2 linked regions of the Macaca fascicularis genome follow. The protein of the gene in region 2 purifies or fractionates together with the protein of the main gene of each other region. This does not show direct contact. Links are inferred from orthologs where the notes say so. Each region holds a gene or a part of one and is shown on either strand. Other genes may lie near its edges. The genes, in order: SYNJ2BP and ESYT1.

Evidence for each region.
Region 1: the proteins of ESYT1 (region 2) and SYNJ2BP purify together in Homo sapiens (affinity purification with mass spectrometry; 4 studies listed by BioGRID and IntAct, with this or other methods). This does not show direct contact. The link is inferred for Macaca fascicularis from reciprocal best matches to the Homo sapiens genes ESYT1 and SYNJ2BP.

What each region holds. Positions count from the first base shown.
Region 1 is NC_088381.1:138,275,402-138,279,218, forward strand, and holds part of SYNJ2BP (synaptojanin-2-binding protein), read right to left. Parts: intron 2,410-3,817; coding exon 2,273-2,409; intron 1-2,272. UniProt on the Homo sapiens protein: Regulates endocytosis of activin type 2 receptor kinases through the Ral/RALBP1-dependent pathway and may be involved in suppression of activin-induced signal transduction.
Region 2 is NC_088385.1:62,917,263-62,921,079, reverse strand, and holds part of ESYT1 (extended synaptotagmin-1), read right to left. Parts: intron 3,694-3,817; coding exon 3,621-3,693; intron 3,459-3,620; coding exon 3,369-3,458; intron 3,186-3,368; coding exon 3,130-3,185; intron 2,738-3,129; coding exon 2,614-2,737; intron 2,526-2,613; coding exon 2,349-2,525; intron 2,228-2,348; coding exon 2,145-2,227; intron 1,526-2,144; coding exon 1,477-1,525; intron 1,355-1,476; coding exon 1,268-1,354; intron 1,162-1,267; coding exon 1,069-1,161; intron 863-1,068; coding exon 761-862; intron 602-760; coding exon 515-601; intron 1-514. UniProt on the Homo sapiens protein: Binds calcium (via the C2 domains) and translocates to sites of contact between the endoplasmic reticulum and the cell membrane in response to increased cytosolic calcium levels.

The sequences.
Region 1 (3,817 bases), on a different chromosome or scaffold from region 2:
TTCCTTACAGTACCACTGCCAAGTTGATTCATATTGGATGAATGTCTTTCCCTGGGAGCTAAAGGAAATAATCTGCTTCTAAACTTTTCACTATCCTTTTGAGAAGACAGTATATTATCACTGTCTCCATCTCACAGATTAATAAATAGGGTCTAGGAGAAGCTTAACGGATGGAAGAGAGGCAAAACAGTCAATGAGAAGGACTGAAATACTGTGGTGCTTGATACTATATTTATATTATAGATCAGCGAGGGCACATGCTTAGACATTCTTGAGCTAATTTAGGTGGCTCTAATAGCTACTTGTTCTGATTTTCTTTCTTTTTTGGGGACTAAGTGGAGTCACGGTCTTCCTGAAGAGGCATTCAGATCCATACTGCTGAGCCTGATCACTCAAATACTCAGATGCCAAATGAAGAGAAGATGGATGTTCTTTCTCTTTTCCTTTGTATCTCTGCCTTCAGGTACTACTACCAAATGGGCTGCGTGGCAGAGAAGTGTTCAGTAAGCTGGCAACTAAGAAGAGCAAGAGATTTCACACGTATGACCTGTAATCACTAATCACCTGAACTGCATGAAAAGTGAAGTGAAATTCAAATGAAACTATATAGCAAAAAAAATTTAAGGGATGAAGCTAACTTATTATAGAGGTAGGTTCAAAATCATGTCTCTGAGACTAATACTTAATTCTGTCAATCAAGACTTCTCCTGTCTATACTTCATTCATTTATTTCAATCTTTTCCCAACCTGGCCATCCTGCCCTATTCAGTTCTAAAAGAAAACAGGGAATAGTTTTCTCCTCTTCAGACTGTGGGCTTATGGCCCATCTGGAGAAGACAGGAGCTTCTGCTTAGGAGCTTCTCCTATGAGAAGCCCTATCCTATTTCAATTTCCTTTTATTTAAGTCTAGCCCTTTGAAGCCAGCTCTCCCAAGAATATTCTAGATAATATCTCACACCCTCAGCATTTTTCCATTCTTTATACCAACCATCTGTACTGTTTCCATACGAGTAATAAGTTGGCCATTTTTCACTAGTCCTGAAAGTTAATAAAAAAAGAAATTCTACAGAATAATTATCTCCAATCTACACCTCCTTATCCCCCAGCAACTGATAGTATCATAGGATTACTGTGACCTATGGTAATGTGGAGAAATGAACAATAGGGCCAGAGTTATATTTTGCATTTTAATAGTTTTTACTGTAGGCTTGTTCTAATTTATTTTAAGACCTGAGGTCTGTGGGCCCGTATTTATCAGCTAGTCTTTTTAGGTTTGCCTGAATTTCTTAACTTGTTCATTTCTTAAACATTATTAAACATTGCGCTATGATTCAACATGTTAAAAAAAAGATCTTAGGCCAGGCCCGGTGGCTCACGCCTCTAATCCCAGCACTTTGGGAGGCCGAGGAGGGCGAATCATGAGGTCAGGAGTTCGAGACCAGCCTGGCCAACATGGTGAAACCCCATCTCTATTAAAAATACAAAAAATTAACTGGGCATAGTGGCAGGCACCTGTAGTCCCAGCTACTCAGGAGGCTGAGGCAGGAGAATCACTTGAACCCGGGAGGCAAAGGTTGCAGTGAGCCAAGATCATGACACTGCACTCCAGCCTGGGTGACAGAGCGAGACTCCATCTCAAAAAAAAAAAAAAAAAAAAAAAAGGATCTTGTCACTCCCCTTGAGGAAATTCTAGAAAAGAATAAGATTAATAATTTCCATGTAGTAAGTCTTGGTAGAGACATTAGCAGGATGAAATGGGAACACAGTGGACAGATACCCAAATCAACTGCATTCCAAATTTTCATGTTAATAATGGGTGAAAAAGGGCTCTGAGTCTGAAAAGGACACTTAATTCCAACCTTCCTTCTTTCTGTTTTTTGAAGTTAAATCCAATTATAAGGGCTGACATTCCCCCAAAGGAAGATACACATTAGTGTTTTAATCAACAAAAGGAGGCAATGACGGATGAAAGACAAAATTTGTGGATTTTATATCTCTTTTCCCCGTATGAGTCCCTCGCTGCTTCCTGCCTCGTGCTTTTTGAACAAGTAACTTCACATTCTGGGCTTCACATTCTCATTTATCAGGTGAGCATAATATTGCCCTCCATGCTCAATGATAGGGTTGGAAAGAATGACTGATCAGAGTTGTTCCCATTCAGCTCTATAATCTGTATATTTCCAGACCCAAATCTTTCCAAGGAAAGGGATAGGGGTAGGACCTAGGGCTTAGGGAGCAAAGGACAGTGAAGGAGGCCGAAGCCCATTCTCACCGAAAGTATCTTATCACCCTCCTGGAGCCGCCCATCCAGGGCCGCAGCCCCATTTTCTTTGATGCGGCTGACGTAGATGCCACTGTCGTTGGAGACATACTGCTGATCTGTCCCACCGACGATGTTGAAGCCCAGCCCTGAGAAAATCATGGAGGAGTAAAAAGATGGGGGTGAAGAAGAAAGAAAGGGATTAGAGAAGATGAAGAGAAAGGGAGGAAAAGCCTACTGGGCAGGAAAGGCTGATGGAGAGGAGACGCTGGCGAGTCAGGCTGTGATGGAGCTGGTGAATGGTCATGAACAAGGTCAGCAGTATCAAGAGTATTGAGTTGCTCACTCAAATGAGGCACAACTGAAAATATAAACACAGTGATTCACCTGTTTTGTTGAATATATAAAGAAAGATATATATAGAACTTAAAGAGTAATGGTGATTACTCTAAGTTCTTTCTTTTTTTTCTTTTTCTTTTTTTTTTTTTGAGACAGTCTTGCTAGGGGGCATAGTGGCGGGCGCCTGTAATCCCAGCTACTCAGGAGTTCATAACTCAGTTTCCCAGGCTGGTTATGAACTCCTGGCCTCAAGCAATCACTACTGCCTTGGCCTCCCAAAGTTCTAGGATTACAGGTGTGAGCCACCATGCCCAGCCTACATGTAAATTCTTCTACTCACATTTAATTTTGATCCTGTTGATGGTATTCAAAGGACCCAATTCCTGACATTCCTGATATTACCACAGCAGGGTTAGTTGTGTTCATGAGAAGAAGCTATGCATTTTTACCAATTATCAAATGAACTGTTCCTAATTTAGTGTGAGAGATTCCTAACCATACCTTCCCTTCCACACTTTCCTTCTCCCAAGCTTCTGGAGAATTTATGTATGATAGTGCTTTGGAAAAATCTCTTGAGAGTTTCATTTTTTTTTTTCTTTCTATTTTGGTTGGTGGAGGCAGTGGTGTAGGTATTGGCAGAGAAACCTCAGAATCAGAAAGGTAACTGCTGTTTCATGGTAGGACTAAATCACCAAATTTACCTTCCCTTCCTTTGCTACTTCAAGTACAACTATATATAGGTTGAGTATCCCTTATCCAAAATGCTTAGGACCAAATGTGTTTTGAATTTTGAATCTGGGGGATTTTGGAACATTTGAATTAAACTTACCAGGTGAACATCCCTAATCCAAAAATCTGAAATCTGAAATGCTTCAATGAGCATTTCCTTTGAACATCATGTTGGCCCTTAGAAAGTTTTGGAGTTGGTGCAGTGAGCCGAGATCGCGCCACTGCACTCCAGCATGGGTGATAGAGCAAGACTCCATCTCAAAAAAAAAAAAAAGTTTTGGAGTTGGAAGCATTTCAGACTTCAGATTTTTGGATTTGGGCTACTCAATCTATATTTGGGTATAGTAATTGACAAGTTTTATTCACTGTAGAAAAAACTGACTACTCATTGATTAGCAACTCCCCAGTTCTTCTTCCCTAAGTCCTTGGAAACCACCATTCTAATATTTGTTTTTATGAGTTTGACTATTTTAAACACATATAATTTTA
Region 2 (3,817 bases):
GCGCAGGGGCGGGCGCCTGTAGTCCCAGCTACTCGGGAGGCTGAGGCAGGAGAATGGCGTGAACCCGGGAGGCGGAGCTTGCAGTGAGCCGAGATCGCGCCACTGCACTCCAGCCTGGGCGACAGAGCGAGACTCCGTCTCAAAAAAAAAAAAAAAAAAAAAAAAAAAAAAAAAAAAAATAGCCGGGCGTGGTGGTGCGTGCCTGTAATCCCAGCTACTCAGGAGGCTGAGGCAGGAGAATTGCTTGAACCTGGCAGGCGGAGGTTGCAGTCAGCTGAGATCGCACCATCGCACTCCAGCCTGGGCAACAGAGCGAGACAGCATCTCAAAAAAAAAAAAAAAAGTATTCTGGAGCAACAGTTGGGGAACAGTGGAGAGATATTCAGGGAGGTGGGGAGTCTAGGTAGATGGATTAAAAATCGGAATGAAGGGAAAAGAAGGAGAGGAGAAATGTTACTAATCTGGATAGACACAATAGGGTATTCAAGAGGGGATAAAGAGGTGATTATCTCACTTGCACATCGAGCTCCTGGCTTTGAGGGTCTTGTAGGAAGAACCGGAATGCTTCCTCCCACACTGGGCAGTTGGTACTGTAGACAGCCTGGAGATGTGGAGGAGGGATTAAGGGTGTACACCACAGCACCACTCCTGTTTCTCCAGAAAACCTCTGCACATAACAGGCATTCTAAGGGGAAACCATTCCAAGAACAGGCCCCTCCCTGTCCCACCTGGCCCCCGACAATGATGTCCCGGCCCTCACCTTGCTCTCCTGAGTCACATCCTGAATTGACAGTTGTACCATGGGGTTGGGTTCCTTGTTCCCCTTCTTCAGCTGTGGTGGGTACAATTCAGAGGTCACCATCTTGGGGGATTTGGTTTTGGTTTTGGTGAAGGAAGGTGGGATCGCATCAAAATCCTTTCCCTGAGATGGATCTGATCCCCTCCCTGGGACCCTTGTGTTACATGCTGATACTTCTGGAGCAAAGCAGGCAGTGACAACTGCATCCTCAGCAAGGCAGGGTTGGGGAATGCTACATCCAGGGCTCCTGTTCACCCAGCCAAACTCACAGGAAGATCCTGGGCCCGATCCAGGTAGACAACTAAGATGGCAGCTGATGGGGGCTCTGGTCGAGAGGAGACTCCCCGATTCCACTGTAGAACCTGGGGAGGGGAAGTAGTAGTCAGATCTTGGTCCCCGTTCCAAGTCCCCTACATTTCCAGCTACCTACTTCTCCCCTGCCAGCTTCCTGTTTCCCATGTGGTGTACCTGCTCCAGTTTCTCTGCATCTGACAAAAGCGACAGCCATTCTAGCCTCAAGTGAACTTGGCCTTGCCCACCTTGTAGAGGGAACCACTAGAAGAAATTGAGATGTGGTAGAGATCAGATATCTGCTTAACTACTTCCCTACCAATGTAGCAACTACCGTCTGCCCAAGGGGTGAGATCAGCCCCCACCTTCCTCTTCTCCCAACTTACATCATCCAGAACACCAGCCTGTAACACCTTCCCTACATCCAGCTTCATTCTGGGATGGGGAGGGGAGAGGGTAGTGAAAGGAAGAAAAGGGGAGTGTTGTAATTAGCAGCAGGTCAGTGGCCCTCCACTCACCCACCGAGAAATGACTGGCAGATCTCAGACTCCCTTATTCCTCTCAGGAGATATTCACCTGCATGCGTGAATGTGTGCATGGTAGGGGTTAGGGGTGGGGAGGTTAGGAAGGAAAATGATACATTATTCCCAGGCCCAGAAGGTGAGTATAATTACCTCCAGAACCTCGGTAGCATGGGCTTTATTATTATTTTTTTTTATTATTATTTTTTCTTTAGAGACGGAGTCTCGCTCTGTCGCTCAGGCTGGAGTGCAGTGGCACGATCTTGGCTCACTGCAAGCTCTGCCTCCTGGGTTCACCTGCCATTCTCCTGCCTCAGCCTCCCAAGTAGCTGGGACTACAGGCGCCTGCCACCACGCCCGGCTAATTTTTGTATATTTAGTAGAAATGGGGTTTCACGGTGTTAGCCAGGATGGTCTTGATCTCCTGACCTCATGATCTGCAAGCCTTGGTCAACAAAAGTGCTGGGATTACAGGCGTGAGCCACCGCACCCGGCCAGCATGGGCTTTAGAATCCTAACAGGCGGAGTCTCACCTGCCCAGAAAGTCATCTTTATCTGGATCCTTGTCGAACACCTCCACTTCAATCTCCTGCCCTGGGACCTCGTGTACCATCACCTGGGGAACACAGAAGGCTGAGTGTCTCATGGGGCTGCAGCTGTGAAGATCATCTCATCAGCATCTTCTCTCACGGCCTCCTGGGGCTTCCCCATTTCACACAGCTGCTCAACTCTCCCACCTCATAAGTCTCTCCCCACTGTGGGTTGAGTTCTTCATCAATGACACGACTGCAGAACGTCTGGGTGCCCAAACGCACAAGTGCGTACGGGTCTGACTTGCCCTCAATCAGGCCCTTCACATATTTGTCCTTGGAACTCAGCCCTCGAGCAGCCAGCAGGTGAATTCGAATAATGCCCTGGAGGAAGGAATCAGATGGTGAGAAACTAAGGACCCAGCAAGGGGTTCCTGAGAGAAGGATCTATCTAGTGGGGAAAAGGCCATACCCTGGGCAGAGGGGAACGCAACTGAGCCACATCTTGAAGGTCAGGCACAAGGGGCACCAGTAATCGATTGGGCAACACGAGGAAGGCAGCGATGGAGTCCATGATCATGGTGTCAGAGAGTGAGCTGAATGGGGGAGTAGAAAGCAATGGGTATGGCCTCAACTTCAATTTTCTCCTAACCCCAACTATGTTTCCCACACCTAAAGCTGTAAGAAAGTCCTTTTGTAAAAATCCTTTGTGCTACTCTTCTACCCTAATTCCCCACCTACTGCTCTCTCCCTTCTTCACTGCCATCCCCATTGCCTTTTGCAGTCTTCAGCCCTCTTCATTCCCTACCTGCTCCCTCAACCCGAAGAAAAATCACAGTATCAAACTTTCCAGGGGTATTTGTCTTCGCTCCCCAACTGAAGTTGAGGCTCCTAGAGGACACAAGCAGCATCTTTGACTGCTCTGTGTCCCTTAAACCCCCAACCCAGCGCTGGAACACTCAGCAGATGCTCAGTAAGTCCTTGATACCTAAGTCCTGGGATATCCAGCAGGTTGGTCATCCCTGTCCAGTTGATGTCTAGGGTCTGCAGGGAAAGAGCAGGGGTCAGGACAGATCCTATGGGGTGTGGTCATACCCATCCAACAGTTGCCAGACCCCTCGGCCTTCTTGTCAATTCCCTTCTCATTCCGCATCGCTGGCTGCCCTCATCCTCCCAGTCCTCTCTGCTTCCCCTGCTTCCCCATACCCCTTCATTGTTTTCCCTTACCGGGCGTCGGATGAAGAACATTGACACAGCCCCCACAATGGGAAGGTCCCCAATGAGTGGCTCCAGAATCACCCGCAAGACACCATGTAGCTGAGGCAAGAAGAGAAAATCAAAGCCTTTCCCCAGAAAAGTCCCTCTTCTGTCCTCCCAGACTTTCTCAGCCTTGGTCTTTCCAACCTCACAGTTCCCCATATCCCATGAAACGTAGGACAAACATTCCCTATTATGTGGGCCCCCTGACATATGGCCTACCTGCATGCCCTTGACTCCTGCTTTGCAGAAGTATTTCTTCACTTCTACATCAATCTGCACATCACCTACATAGCTGGGGATTGGTAAAGAAGAGAACCAAGAGGGTTAGTCCTTGGCTGAAGTTGCGGGGAAGGGGAGTGAAGTAGCCTGGACTGACCAGGACACATTGAAGGGGAAGCAGTAAGAGTGGTGAGTGG